Ovis aries: one gene and its partners. The protein of the gene in region 2 purifies or fractionates together with the protein of the main gene of each other region. This does not show direct contact. Links are inferred from orthologs where the notes say so. Each region holds a gene or a part of one and is shown on either strand. Other genes may lie near its edges.

What was found. Proteins that work in one complex are often made in the same cells at the same time.
Region 1: the proteins of RHOC (region 2) and RAP1GDS1 purify together in Homo sapiens (co-immunoprecipitation; 3 studies listed by BioGRID and IntAct, counting the BioPlex papers as one, with this or other methods). This does not show direct contact. The link is inferred for Ovis aries from reciprocal best matches to the Homo sapiens genes RHOC and RAP1GDS1.
Region 3: the proteins of RHOC (region 2) and ARHGDIA purify together in Homo sapiens (affinity purification with mass spectrometry; 4 studies listed by BioGRID and IntAct, with this or other methods). This does not show direct contact. The link is inferred for Ovis aries from reciprocal best matches to the Homo sapiens genes RHOC and ARHGDIA.
Region 4: the proteins of RHOC (region 2) and DAAM1 purify together in Homo sapiens (affinity purification with mass spectrometry; 3 studies listed by BioGRID and IntAct, counting the BioPlex papers as one, with this or other methods). This does not show direct contact. The link is inferred for Ovis aries from reciprocal best matches to the Homo sapiens genes RHOC and DAAM1.

Annotation. Positions count from the first base shown.
Region 1 is NC_056059.1:26,856,816-26,860,851, forward strand, and holds the start of RAP1GDS1 (rap1 GTPase-GDP dissociation stimulator 1), read right to left. Parts: upstream 2,829-4,036; 5' UTR 2,641-2,828; coding exon 2,637-2,640; intron 1-2,636. UniProt on the Homo sapiens protein: Acts as a GEF (guanine nucleotide exchange factor) for the Rho family of small GTP-binding proteins (G proteins) that stimulates the dissociation of GDP to enable subsequent binding of GTP.
Region 2 is NC_056054.1:90,100,182-90,104,586, forward strand, and holds the start of RHOC (rho-related GTP-binding protein RhoC), read right to left. Parts: upstream 2,879-4,405; 5' UTR 2,267-2,878; intron 1,097-2,266; exon of another isoform or gene 1,018-1,096; intron 1-1,017. UniProt on the Homo sapiens protein: Regulates a signal transduction pathway linking plasma membrane receptors to the assembly of focal adhesions and actin stress fibers.
Region 3 is NC_056064.1:50,520,108-50,524,335, reverse strand, and holds the start of ARHGDIA (rho GDP-dissociation inhibitor 1), read right to left. Parts: upstream 2,829-4,228; 5' UTR 2,085-2,828; intron 1,999-2,084; 5' UTR 1,873-1,998; intron 1,280-1,872; 5' UTR 1,253-1,279; coding exon 1,063-1,252; intron 962-1,062; coding exon 878-961; intron 514-877; coding exon 437-513; intron 358-436; coding exon 294-357; intron 179-293; coding exon 1-178. UniProt on the Homo sapiens protein: Controls Rho proteins homeostasis. Regulates the GDP/GTP exchange reaction of the Rho proteins by inhibiting the dissociation of GDP from them, and the subsequent binding of GTP to them.
Region 4 is NC_056060.1:69,528,471-69,532,816, forward strand, and holds the start of DAAM1 (disheveled-associated activator of morphogenesis 1), read left to right. Parts: upstream 1-1,518; 5' UTR 1,519-4,346. UniProt on the Homo sapiens protein: Binds to disheveled (Dvl) and Rho, and mediates Wnt-induced Dvl-Rho complex formation. May play a role as a scaffolding protein to recruit Rho-GDP and Rho-GEF, thereby enhancing Rho-GTP formation. Can direct nucleation and elongation of new actin filaments.

The sequences.
Region 1 (4,036 bases), on a different chromosome or scaffold from region 2:
ATGTATGTATGAATTGTTATAATAACTTCCTTGGGTTAGAATATAAAATTGCTTCCCAAGCTTTCAGTTTTACATTATTGTATGTACCTACTGATCACAAACTAAACCAACATACCACTGAAGACAGCAGTGTAAAAAGAAATAGCTTGCCTGGTGGCTGCTCCAAAACCCATACCTCTTAAGACAACTCAACTTTTTTTTTTTTTTTCGAGAAAGAGAGAAGAGCAATCATAGTGTAAATATACTTCTCTGTTCCCACTTCTTCACACCTCCATTACCTCCCTGCTGCTGCTGCTAAGTCGCTTCAGTCGTGTCCGACCCCATAGACAGCAGCCCATCAGGCTCCCCCGTCCCTGGGATTCTCCAGGCAAGAACACTGGAGTGGGTTGCCATTTCCTTCTCCAATGCATGAAAGTGAAAAGTGAAAGGGAAGTCGCTCAGTCATGTCCGACTCTTAGCGACCCCATGGACAGCAGCCTACCAGGGTCCTCCATCCATGGGATTTTCCAGGCAAGAGTACTGGAGTGGGGTGCCATTGCCTTCTCCGCTATTACCTCCCTAACATCTACCAACTCAAACGTTCTTCAGAGTCCATACTTACAGGTTCACAAGTTCACAATAATAGATGGGTTTGCAGTTCAACAATTAATTCAAAGAGTTACTGAATATCTACTATGTGGAAAGCACTGTGGAGGGCCCAAAAATCATTAAGACACAATTTTCATCTTCTGGAACACATGACTAAATGCACAACACACACACATATAAACAACTCCATTATAAAGCTGATTATATAAGAGCTCAAAAGCTTCCAACAAGGTACAAACAGAATGACGTGAGAGAGTAATTTAGTCAAAGTATACCTGAGAAGCTTCAAATGAGGAATGGATTTAATTTTCTTTGAAATCAAGTAATAATATTCAAGATTTTCAAGATTATTTTTAAATTATTTTTTCAGTAGTACTGCAATAGAATTTAATTTTTTTCCCACCGAAATGGTACTGATTCAACATGCAAGTTAAAATTTTAAACAGATTTTTATTAGCTCAGCTTGAAACATGGTGAAATACAGTTTATAGGCCAACTTGTGGCCTATAATTAACAGGAAAAAATTTGTTATGTTCAAGGGGAAGACAAACTATGTCTCCAACAATCTGAACTAATATTCTACTCCCAGAGAAAGGCTAGGTACATATAAATGGATCACTCAATTTTTACAGAAATCTCTTCAGCATACCAATAGGACATTAAAAAGAAAAAAACTGAACAAGAGAAAATAAAATTCTGGGTCTTAGATTCACTTTTCATTCATACCACCTCCTCTTGTAACAATGACCTCTTCCTGATATACAGCAAAAGATCTGAATCAGAGCCTGGAGCATTTGCTTTTTAAGCTCCATCCACACCATTTCTAGATTTAGACACTTCTTTGAAGATTCTGAGTTGCCATGACCTAACTCTGGACGTGCTGAGTACTGTATTGACAGATGAAAGGACCACACTCATCTGAAGCTTAAAATAACTTGCAGGGAAGGGGTGGGAAAAGTCCAAGTTGATATATGCCAATGTAGCAAATTCTAAAAAGAGGAAACTATAATAGACAGGAATGGAAACAAACTGGGGAACTTGGAGAAGCATGGTATTCCAAATTGCTACCATTTAAAAAAACTTTGGTCTTTTAATTACATTACAGTATCCATAAGACGTTTTTGCAATTACTGAACTTCAAAATTAAGCAACATACTGTGAAAAAAAAAAAAGGATAAATTACATGCACTTTTATAAAAGATACTTGCTTTTAAATATCCAAAACTCTTGACATTAACAAAAAAATAACTAAAATCAGATTATGTAGATTTCGACAAGGGAAGCCGGGAAAGAATAACGTGTAAGTTGGGTAACATGTTACAGGGTGCAGTTTCCTACTACAGTAGACAGGCAAAAGAACCAAGAAAATGGGTTGAGCACAGAATACTGCTACACTGCAGCCACTCAACACTAATTCAACAGCTAGCGGGCTCTATCCATCCTTCCTCACGGTCCTCGTGGCCTCTGACAAGTCATCCTTTCAACCTATGAGACTGTGCGCTCTCCCCCAACAAATATAAATTCCCGTGCAGGTTGTAAAATCTCCCCCACAAACTACATGCTCACACCTCCTCGCCTTGGGATGAGCAGTTCCCACAGTGGGGAAAGGTCGCCCTGGCAGGGAAGTTGGGTGAAGTGGTCTTTCTCGCGGTCCGACCCGAGCCTCCAGCCCAGCAGCCGCTGGGGAAAGGAAACGGGCGGCCACCGAAGGAACCGGGAAGGGGCAGCGGATGCGAGCCCGCAAGGCAGGCTCCGTGGTGCCCGCTCGGGCAGGAAGAATGGAGGAGGGGAGGCTAGGCAGCGAGGTGCCCGAGAGGCGGGCGGCGATCCGCCCCGCGGCCAGACCCCACCCCGCACTCGGCACCCTCCCAGTTCGCGGACCCGGCGTGCGTTCCGCGTGCGCCGACTCTCCCGGGAGGAAGAGCCACTGCCTCACACCCGTGGATTTGAGAAATCAGGCAACTTTGCGCGAGAAATGCTTCCCACCCTGCAACACACCGAGAAAGAGAAATATGTCAGGCGATGACGGGGGAGGAAGGATGACTTACCCATGTTCCTCCCAGAGGGTGAGGAGCCGGCAGGGCGAGGCGAAGGTCTCCGGTGCGGGCGGCGCGGCGCTGTGTCCTCCGTCTACCTCTGTCTCTCCCGCAGCCAGGGAGGGACCCGCGGGGGGCGGCCGCCGGGGAGGAGCAGCTGCCGCTGCTGCTGCTGCAGACGGCGCGGCCGCGGCGGGGACGAGCGGCGGGGGGCGGGGCGGGGTAGGGCGGGGCGGGCGCGGCGGGCGCAGCCTGCGGCGGGCGCGGCTCCGAGCGGGCGGCGGAGGCGCCGAGCCCAGCCGGAGGAGCGCCCGCCCCGACGCGCCGTCCGAGAGCGCCCCGCCCTCCCCACCGAGCATGCTCAGTGCGTTCCCCGCCCCCCCACGCCTGGGGCCAGTGAATCCGAGCGTGCGGGTGGGCGTGTGTTTGCGGGCCGGCTGCAGCTGCGGCGGAGGAGCTTGATGGCGGCCGCCCGAGGGTGAGCCTTCAGAGGCCGAACGCCGGGACGCCGAGCCCGAGCTACTACACCTGGCTCTCTACCATGGCTCCCGCCAACCCACACCCGGAAAACGGGCCCGTGTTCATTTCGGGACAGTCTAGGTGCACCGGCGGGAATTTCCCGAAGGAGGAGACGCTGGGCCTTCTTAGACCCGGGAGGGTGGTCGGGAAGCAAAGCGGACGTTCTGAAATGAAGGTGGAATGGACGTGCTGGCCATGAGGCCAGCGACTCTGGAGACAGATACCTGAGAACGCCCGTTTTCAGAGCAGCCTATGGGCCCGCTGGGCACAGAGCAAGGAGGCGGCCGCTGGGAGGGCGCTCAGCATTAGGACTGTCTTGTCTGTGGCCAGTTTTAAAAAAAAAAAAGGTTCGGCAAACGAGAGGAGTGACCGTCCCGGGATTTCTTCAGAAAGTGTTGTTCTTCCAGAGGAGTGCGGCCTTCCGTTCCCCGGAGGACACCTGAAAAGCTATGTAACTAGGGTGCCCTAGCCATGGGGCGCCACCCTGCCGGGATGTGCCCGGCTCCCTTTGAACGCGGCAGGCACAAGGTTGCCAAAGTGGAAAATTAAGTCCGCAGAGTTGCCTGCGGCCCCTCAGGGTACATCGGTCGGAGTTTTCCTGGGTCCGCGAGGCCGCCCAACAGCGGGGAAAACCTGAGCCTCGCGGTCCCTAGTGAGGCGCCCTCCCAACTGGGCATGCGCGCGGGGCGGAGGCTGGTCTTGGTTCCTCTGCCCTGGGAGAGGAGGCAGGGGGAAACCTATTTCGCCGCTCTGGTTGGGGTGAGGAACCTGGTCGCTCTCCCGAGGCAGCAACTGCAGTCGTGCATGGGAAAGGGCGCTGTCAGCAGCACAACCTGTGAGAGGGAGATGACAAATAGCTAAATGGAAATTTCTTTCCTTTTTCAACTTTTACT
Region 2 (4,405 bases):
GAGTTTAAAGTCGGACTTATTTGTTACCAGGATTTCAATACTTTCAAAAGATTAATAATTACAAAGGTCCAATCTGGAACACATTGTCCCTCACTCAGCACAAATCATGCCTGCCCACTGCAAAACAAAGAGTTCGACTGATACGGGTGGGTAAGGAAAGACTATTTATCATAACCTAGACGCCAGGTAGGGCTTCCCAGGTGGTTCAGTGGTAAAGAATCTGCCTGCAATGCAGGAGACTCGGGTTTGATCCCTGGGTCAGGAAGATCCCCTGCAGAAGGAAGTGGCTACCTACTCCAGAGGTAGGAGTAGACAGAGGAGCCTGGCGGGCTATAGTCCATGGGGTCACAAAACAGTCCAATACATCCTTGCGACCAAACAGCAGGTGCTAGGTTCTACGTTGGACATTTTGACAAAAATCACTCCCTCTGTCCCCAGAAGCCTAGAAGGTAGTGAGCTTCCCTGTTTTGACAAACTAGGAAAGTGAGACTCATGGAAGCTAAGAGGAATTCGGAGTCATGGCAGAGAAGGCCCTCAGAGTAGGGCTGTGTGACTAGAGTCTGTTGCTTTTCTACATTATCACCCCAGAGGTGGGAAGGAGAGCAGAGCAAGGGGAACCCAGACGGAGGGCAGCAGCAGCGGCCAGCCAGCTTCCCTGGCCCACCCCATCCCAGTCCCCAGGGCCCCGCGTACACAAAGGAGGCTCAGTCCAGGCAGTGCCCACAGCCCACACTTGGGCAGGCTGCCTGCCTCCCCCTTCCTCCTGAGCCTGGCAGCAACACTGGGTCACTCAGCCCCAGGCAGGGGACAATGACCACACTGTAGGGAGCCACACATCTACGGCAGCAGAGCGACCGAGAATAATCCACTAGGGAATCACCTCCACCCACTCCCTGGGACGGCCCCTTCCTCCTCTCTGTCCAGCTCACCCTGAGGCCCTGCCCACCCCTCCCTGTGACTCAGGGCCAGGAGTCAGCTTCCCGGGGTTTCCATGTGTCCCCTGCCCCCAACACACACCGAAGGGCAGCTGCACAGTTCATCACACCTTGCCAGCTTCTTTTTGCCCCTGAAGCTGAGCCTCACTTCCTCCTTCCCTGGGGAGAGGAGCTGACCTCCAGCCGGCTGGAGTTCCCAGGCCCCCAGCCTGGGAGGAAGAGAGGGCGGGCTTCGGGCCTGAGATGAAGTTGAGGCTGTGGGGAGGAGCGGGAGCTGGAGCCGGCGCTGGGAGGAACTCCAAAAGGGAGACAAATGAAGGCCAATTCCAGCGCCAGCCACACAGGGAGTGGTTAAGAAAGAAGGGGACGGTAATCTGATCTCGGCCCCAAACCTGGCTTTTTCTCTCAGTCCCACATCCTGTCAAACTAGGCTGAGCTCCCTCACTCCCCACACACCACCACCACCACCTCACAGCCCAGCCCTGGTCTGCCTTTTTGGAAGCGAATATTACAGCCCAAGGCAAGTTCTCTTCAACAGTGGGATCCCGGGTGGCCTCCCTCCCCTCTACACACACAGGCACAACACTGGGATGAGGGGAAGCGGATGTGAATCAGATGGAATTTATAGGAGCTGAGCGCACAGCCACTCTCTAACACCACAACAGGGGCTTTCTGATATCCCAAAAGGCAAGCAAGAAGGCATTCACCCTGCCAGCTGATTTCCTCCACAAATGGAAACCATCCTTCAGAAAAGGGGGTCTCCTGAAAATTCTACCCAAGTGACCAACTCCCTCTCACATTCCCACAAGTCCATTGGTCCAACTGAGGGAAGACAGGCTGCAGTAGCCCCAACCTGGCACAGGCAGCGTTGATGGACAGATGGAGGGCATTCACCACCAGGGTGAATACCAGTTGCCTAGCTCTGAGTTTGCCACTGCCCTCTCCCACTCCAGCAGGGCAGTTTAGGTAGCACCAGATGGTGCAGGTCAGAGGCCAGAACTCCAGGGCAGGGGCATGCTGGAATGATCTGGAGCACACCCTCCCCTAGCTCATTTAACACTTTCCCTTCAAGCTCAGAGGGGTCCTAGACCCAGGCCAGGCCAAGACACCAGGCCCAAGGCCAAGACAGCAAGGACAACAGCTCCCTGTGAGAGGCAACCCCTGAGGAACTGCCCCACTGACTTCAAGAGGGGCAACCAAACCCCACAGGACGTGGTATGAGTCGAACTCCTGGGGCCTTCCCTGGGATGAAACAGCTCCTCAATCATCTCAAGCTTTCCAGCACACACGCACACACACAAACGGCTTGGATCCTTCCCAATTTCCCGTACCTCCACTCCAGGCCGGCTCCAGAAACCATCCTGGGCGAGGTCCAGACCCCGGAGCAGTGGCAGCCCCCGCGGTCACACCCCACCCTTATTCCTGCCACTTCACAGGCCCGGCGGGGGGGAATTCCCACCTCAAGCCGGACTCGGGCCCCAACTCACACCCCAGCCAAGGTCCACCGCGGGCCGCCAGACTTGGGAGCTGAGCATCTGCGCGGGAGCTCCCTCGCGGAGACCCAAGTTGCCCCCTCTCCTCCTCGCCCTGCCAAGCAGGTTCTGGGAAGCCGAGAGAAGGGAACGGACTTCGACTCGGACACCTAGAGGCGAGAGGCCCTGCGGGACAATTCCCGGCGCCCCCCACAGTAGCCCAGGAGGGCAGGGAGAGGCCCAGCCGTCCGGATCCCCGCGCCGCCCAGACGCCGCGTACGAGGGGAGGGAAGGGGCCCGCGCTCGGGCCAAAGCCCCTCCCCGGCCGGCGCCCCGAGCTCCAGCCAAGTTGGAGAAGAGGGAAAGTGCTCTGCCGGGGACCAATGCCCAGGACTCCGCCGCCCACAGCCCCAACCCGGGTACCTTCCGCTCCGCCGCTTCCAGCTGCGCTGCGGGTGCGGGAGGCAGAGTGACCCGCGGGGCCCCGCCGCCCCGCCCTCCTCCAGCGCCGCGGCGGGGAGGGGCGACTGGCCGGGAGGGGCGGGCCGGGCGGCTCTCGGCTCCGCCCGCCCCCGGCCCCCGCCCGCGGCCCCAGGCGGTAGCCCGGCGCTGGCCCGCGGGGTCCGGGAGATGCCTGGACTGCGGAGGAGCGGGCGGCGGGGCTAGGCGCGGCGAACTGGACCCGGGAGGACTCTGCCTCAGCGCCACCTTCCAGCTCTTACGGGCGGACCGGCGTCGGGAAAGTTGAGAGGCGCCCGGGGTGGGGTCAGGAAAGGGCCGCTGCTGCCCTCCCGTGGCTGAGCGGCCACCCGCGCCTACACCACCTGGGTGGTGTCCCGTGGGAGGCGGGACTGGGAAAAGCGGCTTCGGGGACGCCGGAGGAAGGGGCTGCGGGAAATCCCCACCCTCTTAGAATCTTTGCGCAGTAAGTACAGCCCAGCATCATCCCCCAGCCTCGGAGACCTTTCAGAACCTTTGAGATTCAGGGGCACTTGGTTCCACCTTGCAATTACCTTCCATCTCCCTACCCGGAATTTCCAACTCCTACCCATCCTTCAAAGGGCATTCTTGGAAATCTTTCTGGATTCCCCAGCTAAGAATTCAGTTCCCACCTGCACTGTCTTATTTCTGTGCTTCTAGGGACACCTCCCAGGTGCTCTAGAGGCCTCGCAGGTGGCTCAAGTGATAAAGAATTCGCCTGCCAATGCAGGAGACACAGGCAGGAGAGGCCGGTTCAATCCCTAGGTCAGGAAGATCCCCTGAAGGAGGAAATGGTAACCCACTGTAGTATTCTTGCTTGGGGAAATCCCATGGACAGAGGAGTCTGGTGGGCTACAGTCCATGGGGTTACAAAGAGCCAGACAGGACAGAGCACAGTTCACACGTAGCACAGGGACACCTAGCTTGCTTTGACTTGTGTGTTGAGTATTTACCAAAACGTGTATCTTTTTCCCTGAAAGGTACATGAGGAAGTGAATGGAGGATGAGGAGTCTACTTACATTTTATTAGCTTGTGCAGGGCACACTACATAGCTTCTAATAGTCATCACAGATTTTTGGGTTAAGTATACACATCCCCTTTTACCTGTAAGGAAACTGAGGCTCAAGAAGTCAGTGACTTGTCCAAATTTTGCCATATGTACATGGCAGAGCAAAATCTCAGAGAGTCAGGCCTGTCTGGCTCCAAAGCTGGTCTCTCTCCCTGCTGCCCACTGTGATCCTTCACTCTGTCCCTTCTCACTTTCTGGCACAATGTGTGGCACGTAATAGGTTTTCAACAAATATTTGCTGAATGAATGAATGTTACAAGTCATACAGACTTTAAAGATCTGACAAGCAACCCACACATCTGCTAAATGAGGAAACTGAGGTCCACAGCAGTTTGGTCCCAATCCTCTTAAGTGGCTCAATAGACCTAGCTATGTACTCAGTTCAGATCAGTTTCTATCTTCAAAGAACTTGTGATCTAAATCCAGAATACAGACAAATTAAAGATAA
Region 3 (4,228 bases), on a different chromosome or scaffold from region 2:
ATGGTGAGGTTCCATTCCCAGGACAGGTGGTCAGTCCTGTCGTCGTCTGTGAAGCGGGACTTGATGTTGTAGCTGCCTCGAGCCAGCATGCCCTTGGGCGCCTCCTCCATGGGCGTCAGGAACTCATACTCCTCCGCCCGGGGCCCATAGCTCCCCACCATGTAGTCAGTCTTGTCAACTGTGGGGCACGGGGAGGGCGTCCGTCAGGGAGCTGAGGCGGGCCTTTCCCCGCTCCCTCCCGGCGCCCCTTGAGCCCCCGGTGGCCACCTCCCTCCTGGTGCCCCCGCACTCACTCTTCACGCCTTTCCTGTACGTGTGCTGGATGTACTTCATGCCGGACACAATCTCTCGGTTCACCTGCAAGGAGGCACACAAGCGGGGCTCAGCCAGACTCTCCAGTCCGAGCCCCCAGCATCCCCCCAAGCCTCCTCCTTACCCGGAAGGAGATTTTTATCCGATATTCCACACCCTCCTTCAGCACAAAAGACTGCTTCTTGAAGCTCTCCAGATCACCTGCGTTTGAGAGGAACGCCACACTAGGAGGTTCAGGTAGGGGAAGCCACTCCGGCCCTGGTGGGGTGCCCTGTCTGCCCCTCTACACACACACACCCCCGGCATCCCAGGCCACACCAAACACACACACCCACACACCCACACCCACACACACACCCCTTGACATCCCAGGCCACACCCCAGACACCCACACACACCCCACCCTCCAATCCCAGGCCACACCAAAGCCAGAGCCTTATTAAAATCACTTGGTTGCACTTCCTAGGCTCCCCACAAGAGGGCGCCAGCATCTCAACAAATTATTTTTAGGGGAATTAGCAGGGTGCCAGGCAGCCCCAGCGAGGAACCTGGAGATGCCACTCACCTGTCAGGTCCAGCTCCAGGGGGCCCGGGGCAGTGCTACACACCAGGGTCAGTCGGGTCACCACAACATTGGGGACATTGGGGTCTGCAGAGTGACAGCAAGTTAGAGCTCCGCCAGCAGGGGAAATAGTGGCGGACACCCAGAAAAGCGACAGGTGTCCACACACCCCACCGGGGCCCACTTACCGGCAGACACAGCCACGCGGCCCAGGAGGGCCTCCTTGTATTTGCGCAGACTCTCGTCGTCCTTGTCCAGCTCCTGGATCTCCTGAATGCTCTTCTGGGCCGGGGGCTTATAGTTGACCGAGTGCTCGTCCTCCTCGTTCTCTGCCGCAATCTGTGCCAACTGCTCGGCTGTGGGCTCCTGCTCAGCCATACTCACCTCTAGCTGGATGTGAGACACCTGTGACCAGAGTAGCAGGGGCTGCGGCAGCCTGGAGGGACCCACAGTGTGTCCCCACCTGCCCTTCTGCAGGACCTGCAGGTGGTCTGCACTGGCTCTCTGCAAGTGGCCAAACCCCCAACCTGGGCCCAAGGGGAGGTGCACGTTCTCTAACAGGAAGGCAGTGACAGCCAGAACTTCATAAAAGGCCCAGACACAGGCTCCTGAAGCCCAAAGGGGCCACTCACCTCCTCGCCCTGCCCACCTCACAGGACCTCACCCCAGCATCCAGAGCTAAATGAAAGGAAAGCAGGCACAGCTTCCCTGCTGCCCAGGAAGCAGCAGCACCTGGGTCCAACCAGGAAGCACCAGGACCAAGTGCTGCTTCTTGTTCTGAGCTGCCTAGGCCCTCTCCTCAAGGAAACCCTCTTGCTGGGTTCTCTCTGACCAGCCTGTTCCTTCAAAAACGCCCCAGCTACAAACCAAGGCCTTTGTGCAGGACATGGGTCAGTCATGTCTCCCTCCAGCCCAAACACAGGTCTCCCCTAGAGCTCAGATGACGGGGCTAGCCTAAGTCCCACAGGTAAGTCCTGAAATGGCCTAAAAGACCCTACCTGTCCGACAAACCAATCTCTAATTGTGAGGGTCTGTGACCTAGAATTTGAGAACTGCTGCAGCCATGTGATGGGTAGTCTCAAGATCCTCCTTCCGCCCGGGCCCCAGAAGAGCCCAGAGCAATGCTGTCAAAGCGAGAAGTGATGGGGCAGCCACAGGACTTCCTTCGCTAAGGATGACCGTCGCACCCCGCAGAATCCCTGAGGAGTACCTGAAACCGACTCAGACTAGACCCGGCGGTGTGGGAGGTGGGTCAGGGCCACCGGTTGCCAGTAAAGACAGCCAATGCCGGGACGTGCGTGAGGACCCGATCTTACAAAGGGCCGCTGGGGACCCGGAACCGCCCGGCCGCCACAGGCAGGGTGGGGCCGGCTCGTTCTTTCCAAGCTTCCCTGCAGCTTCCTCTGGAATTCCTCTAGAAGGCTCACGCCTTAACGTCACTCAAGCGCGGCCGCAGGCGACAAAATCATTTAAGTGCGATGGCGAGGCCCGCACTTCCGCAGGGCCTGCAATCTGGGCCAGGCGAGGCCCGGCAAGCAGGGTGGGGCGCAGGGACCTCACCTCCCAGGGGAGGAGGCGTCCCGCCTGGCCCTGGTCCGCGCGCACCAGCAAGCAGGGGGCTGCCGAGTACGAGCAGCGACCACAAAAGAGGTCTGCACAGACCCCGGCTCCCACCCCCGGCACACGCGCCCCCGCCTCCAGATCCCCGCGCCCCCGATCGCACGTGGGCCCGCCCTGCGCCCGGGGCGCCGCCCGCTGTCAATGCCGCCCCCGCCCTGCGCAGATTCCCTCAGCGGGACTGGCGGGCGGGGCGGGAAGCGAGAACAAAGGCGCGGCCCCGGCCTCCTTCCCCGCGGCCGCCTCGCCCGCCGTGCCCACCGCGCTCGCTGGCCTCGCCGCCCGCACTCACCGGAGGATCGTCCGCGCCGCTCTCGCGCTCCCTCCCGCACAGAATGACGAACGTCGCCGCCCCGCCCGCGCGCGCCCTGCCGGCCACTTCCGGGGTCACGCGACTTCCGCTCGCGCCGGGCGGGCCGCGGATAGCGCATGTGCGAGGAGCTGCCGGCAGCGCGCCGCCGCCATCTTGCGGACCGGCCTCGTGGGCGCGTCCGTTTGGGCAGCGCGGCAAAGGAGACTTGTCCGGTTGGGGCTCCTGTGCTCTTTGCCACAGGCTTTTCTTAGTCCCGGGTATCCTCAGGAGTCTGCCGGCAAGCTGAAGGGGTGGGGAAGTGAGATGGTCTCGCTGAGCGCCACGAGAAACCTGAGCGCGGCATGGTATTTCTGCGAGGTGCTGGGACGCGCGTGTGTCACGGGCGCGTCTCCGTCAGCGGGCATCTCTCCCTTCGAGGGCCCGCTGCCATCACGCCGCGGGGACGAGCCGGCACAGCCGATCCCATCAAGTAGCCGAGGTCAGCGAGTGGCAGCTGTCCGGCCTTAGGCTGCCTTCGCGCCCACTCGCCGATGTCCGCCCTCCCGGAAGTTATCGTCGAACGTTCATCCACGGGTGTCCAAATAGCTCTCTCCAGGCCTTTCCCCTTCCAGCCCAAGTCACCATGCGGTCGCCCTTTTGGGAGCTCCTAGCCCAGACGCCACCAGGCGTGGCGACTATCGGACACATGCCCACGCCTTCAACCAGCGAGGATTTTGCAGCGCCAAGCCGGGCCTATGATTTGTAGCCAGGCTGGCGGAGCCTGCGCTGCCAACGCCGGTCTAGCATGCATCTCTTCTTCCTTCGCCTCCTCCTCGCGGAGTGCAAGACCTCAAATGCTTCACACCCGAGTCATCACAAACACACACCCCTGGATTGCACGTGGTGGGGGCGTTTTAGGTCACAGAACCTAATGTGAAATACTGACCTTGGTATCTTTTGGAAATGTCTTAACTTTGGGGGAATATTTGCGAGTTTTCTGTAATGAAGAGTCACATGGTCAGCTTAACATGTAGAAAGTTGAGTTGGCCAAAGGCAGAGCATTCCAATCTTGTATTTATTCCATACACACTTTTGAGGCTTCCTGTTGGCGCACCTGAAAACTGCCCGGCTAGTCCCCGACGCACTCATCCTGCGTCCTGCTACATTGCCCAATCGCTGACTGAGCAAAAGTTTGTTTTTCGATAACCCAAGTGCTTTTTGAAAACTATCTAACTCTGTTATATTAGTCACCTATTGCTGTGTAAAAACATAACCCTGGAATTTAGCAGCTTGAAACGACCAACATACACTGTCCTTACCGAGGATCAGGGAGAGCTCCGCTCGGTGGTTCTGGCTCGTCTAGTGAGGTTGTGGTTGAACTGTGAGCCAGGGACCTGGTTTCAGGATCTGCAAGCATTCCAAGCTTATGCACGTGCTGTGGGCAG
Region 4 (4,346 bases), on a different chromosome or scaffold from region 2:
AGTGCTAAAATCTCTCCCTCAGAAAAACAAAACATTTCTCTCTTTCCTGAGAGCCTCAGTTAGTTCCATGAATATTTTTCTCTTGAACCCCATTATTCTTGCACAATGATATGAGAAAATAAGAGTGATAAGACTTTCACCAACAATTAGGTGGAGAATTGTTTGAAATTTTGTGATTCCCCGCCCCCTCCCCACAAACCGTGGTCTTCTAGACATTCTGCTAGTGGAAACAGGGGTGTGAACTAATCCTTAAATGTGACTAAGATATTGAATGCCATTACAATTTACCTTTACAACTGGAATAACTGGATGTATTGATTTATTTTTCATTTAAAAAGACACCTAAAGATTTACTCTCAATGTTACTTTTTCATAACGTTTGGTGATCATTGAGTAATATAAAGTGCCATGGGAAAAATATACATATTAAAAATAAAATTTTCCTGAAGGTTCGGAATTCCACATACCTTTTGCTTACTTTAAATTAAACATATAAGTTATTAATATCACAGTAATTCCTGAACAGCATGATGTGTTGTTTGGCTGAAGTCATACAAAAATTTGAAGAGTATGGTATATACATTGAGCGGAAAGTGTGTGCATTTAAGAGTACATGTATACATATGTGTTATTTATTAAAACTTCAGGCAAGGATGTTGTCTTCCTGCAAATTCAGAGCCCTGAGAGCGGGAAGTCTGCTGCAGAGAAGAACAAAAGCATGGCTGCGCGATAGTATTATCTCTGCAGCAGCAGCAGGCTCCCTGACGAAGGGCTGCGGCGACTATCTAGTCTGTTACACTGCATTTTTATTACTGACACCCTGCGTTATTCTGTCAGCTCAGCCGACTAAGCTGTTCCCCGAGTTCTGGCTGGTCACCCTGACTCCGTTAAATGGGAGAAGGAAAGAGAAGGCAGGTGATTTGTACCAACTGGGGCACGGGGAGATTTCTTTCCTTCGGGGTCAGTGTCCTTCATCGTCCGGGACTTGGGGAATTCCAGGATCACATTTAACCCAGAAACCAGAGTGTCCTATTCGTTAGTTGCTGCGCAGAGGGAAGACAGTGAAAGGCTTAATCTCTTCCCAGCTGGGGCCAATAGAGCTGGGTTGGTCAGAGTTGCCTGGCTGATGTGCAGTAGCCTGGACCCTGCTGGTCCCTCAGAGACCGCACGGGGCCTAGAGGAGGTCAAGTCAAAGGGCACGACCTCAGGGAGCTTCCCCCCCAACTCTTGCCCGCGCAGTCCGCAACTCGGCTCCTGAACGACCACCGCTACTACTGCAAGGCTGGAGGGCGGGGAGGGGGCGGGTCGCGGAGGGGGCGGGAATAGGGGCGGGGACGAAGAGGCTCTGAAGTTTGTTGGGAAGTGTAGTTTTCAGAACCTCAGAAGCGTAGCTATCCAGGCTCTGCTTGTGGAGTGTTAACTACGATTCCCAGGAGTACACGGGCCCAGCCCGGGAGTCCATGCGCAGTGGGCGCCACATTGTATCCTATCAGGCGAGGAGAGGGTGATGTCACCTGCGAGTTGGTAACCTACGAGCGGCTGTGAAGGAAACTGTTTAACCGGATCCCATTGTACCCGGAGCGCAGAGCCGCCTTTTCAGCATGCAGGGGCTGCTCAGGTAAGGGGGACGTGCCGCGTCGCCCGCCGCACTCATTCATTAAGAGGCACCGCGCGGTGGCGCGGGGGTGGGCGCGCTTCTTCGCGGCCCGGTGCTGGGTTCGCAGCACGCCCTCCCGCTGTCTTCCCGGAGCTCCCGGGCCAGTAGGTAAATATTAAACCCGTCCTTCAGGTTGGGTCTGGGTGGGAACAGGACCTAGACAGCTCCCAGCTGCCAAGCTGGGTTTGGGAAAATGGCTGCAAGCGCGGCTCAAAGCAAGGCGAGTCCGGGGGAAGGCGCCCCGAGGACAGAGTTGCCTCCCTTCTTTCTTTCTGAGGCGCTTGGACGCCAAGAGAGCCAGCAGGGTACCACTCGCCGCCTTGCTGATGACACGCTGGGGCTCTGGGGCTCTTGGCCTCTGCTGGGTGCTGCGGGCACTGCTACTGTCGGGAGTTGCTGGCCCGGGAGGCTCTGGAAGGGAGAATCCCGAGGTAGGCTTGTTAGAGTGGTAACCGAAGAGGCGGGACTCATTTACTGGTTCGCGTCCCAGCAGAATCCCCGCTATCCCGGGGACCCTCGCCTCAAGACTCATTCGACAGGGATGGGGTGACTGTAATTTAGGCGAAGTTGGAAGCTCAAGGTCTCAAATGAGAAAGAGGAGGGAAACCCACGTTGCGGAAAGAGCGAGGGGTTGTTTGCGGACATCGGTGAGGGGAGGCTGCGCAGCCTGCGGACCGGGTTCGAGGCGCCACAGGGCGATCCAGCCTCCCGTCCCTTTGGGTAGGGCACACCTTGGTGCCCCTTGCACTGATGGCTCACTTGACCAGGAGCACTTGAGCTAGGACGAAGCCTCTGCCCGGAGCGCTGGCTGGGCGGTGGTAAAGCGGTGGGGAGAGTTGAATAATCTAATGATAACAGTCGCAGTGGAACAGAAGGGCTGGGTGATCGGTTTTCACAGCTAGTGGTGAAAATCCAACTGCTTGTGATCCGCATTGAGACGTGTGCGAGGCCCATGAACTCTATATAATAAAGTCCTCTGGATATCCTTTCCCTAGCACCCTTATCCTTTCTCTTACTCATTCATCAAACCTTTGCTAAAGGCTCTGTTCTCAAGTTGCTCTCAGCCTGCGATTGGGGTATTCTGCCTCTCGTTCCTATAAAATATTTTAGTGGACCCAGGGATCGAATACACTTCAACCGTCGTTCACTACCGAGCCCCTCACCCTTCGCCCCCTATCTCCAGGATGCTCAAGGAGAGTATTAAGAGTAAATGCCACCCATGACCGTTTTGCTCCCGTTGAGCTAGTAGTTTCCCCAGGCTCGGGAAGGACCTAGTGAATTGAAGCGGAGTTTGCCTGCAAGATGAATCCTGTTGCCATGGCGACTCCTGTCGTCGGAATCTTAACTGCTCCCACTGCTGTTTCAATTCGTCGTGGCCCTGCGGGCAGCTGGGAGGGCGTGGCCAGTAGGTGTGGTCAGATGCTCGCCCTGGGCCCAGCTGCTCCCTCCTGGTCACCGGTTTCACAGTGCCGGGCTCTCTCCATTCCCTGTAAATAGCTTGAATACAATTTTTAGACCCCTTTCCCTCTGTCAAGCCCATACCTGGTCTCCCCAGCTCCATCCCCAGAAAAAGCTCTTAAGAGCCTTTGTCCTGAGGCAGACTCCGAAAATTAGAACCAAAAGATCTCTTTCCTCTTTCACGCTTATGTTATGTATGTTATGTGAAGTCGCTCAGTCGTGTCCGACTCTTTGCGACCCCGTGGACTGTAGCCCACCAGGCTCCTCCGTCCATGGGATTCTCGAGGCAAGAATACTGGAGTGGGTTGCCATTTCCTTCTCCAGGGGATCTTCCCGACCCAGGGATCAAACCCAGGTCTCCCACATTGCAGGCAGACACGTTAACCTCTGAGCCACCTAGCTGCTCCATTTTCCTAATAACATATGTAATAGTGTTGGAAACAGCTTTCTTTCTCAAGGAGGGAGTTCTCTGTCATGCTTGAAGAGAGCTCTCTGGCTACCAGTAAAGGTCCTCAATTTGCCCTAAGTGCAATTTTAGGGACAAGTAATGACTGAAATTGAGTTCAGGAAGTCACTGCTATCCCATGTGTTTCTAATGAAATCCAAAAGCCTGCCTAGAGGATTCAGATCCTTGAGAGGGTTGGGATCTAGGAAGCCTGGGTCCTGCTCCGGCATTACTGGCTTCCCCTTCTGGGGTGAACCCTCTGCCTCTGGGACCTCAGTCATTGGTGACCTGGGGAAAGCAGCATAGAGTGTTTCCTAAAGTTGATTTCAATATAAAATCTTGTGGCTCTAAGAAGGAGTTGTTTGTCGTCTTTTATTTTTCTCAAAGAAATCTGAAGATGAGAGTTTAAGCCCAGCTTTTGACACTGTGACATCGGATTAGTATCTGAGCCCTACTTGTATGGCAAAATAGCCTGAGTCTCATGGTAATCCTTCAAAGTGGGCAAAGCAGCTATATTAGTATTTATGATATTAGTTCTATCCTTACTACTATTATCCCAGTACCTGGACATCTGTTTATCTTTTTATTGTAGGGTTGTTTAGGTTTTGACTTTTTAGATTCTTGTGGAATGCAGTTATTGGTAATTGCATTGAGTAATTGAGCTATACATTTTGCTTACCTTCTGCTTTCATTTCATACTGAAGTGTATTATCACAGATATTGCAATTAAGGGGTAAGTGTATGTCTGTTAGCATCAGTGCATCATGTGCAGGTAAATGCTTGGGG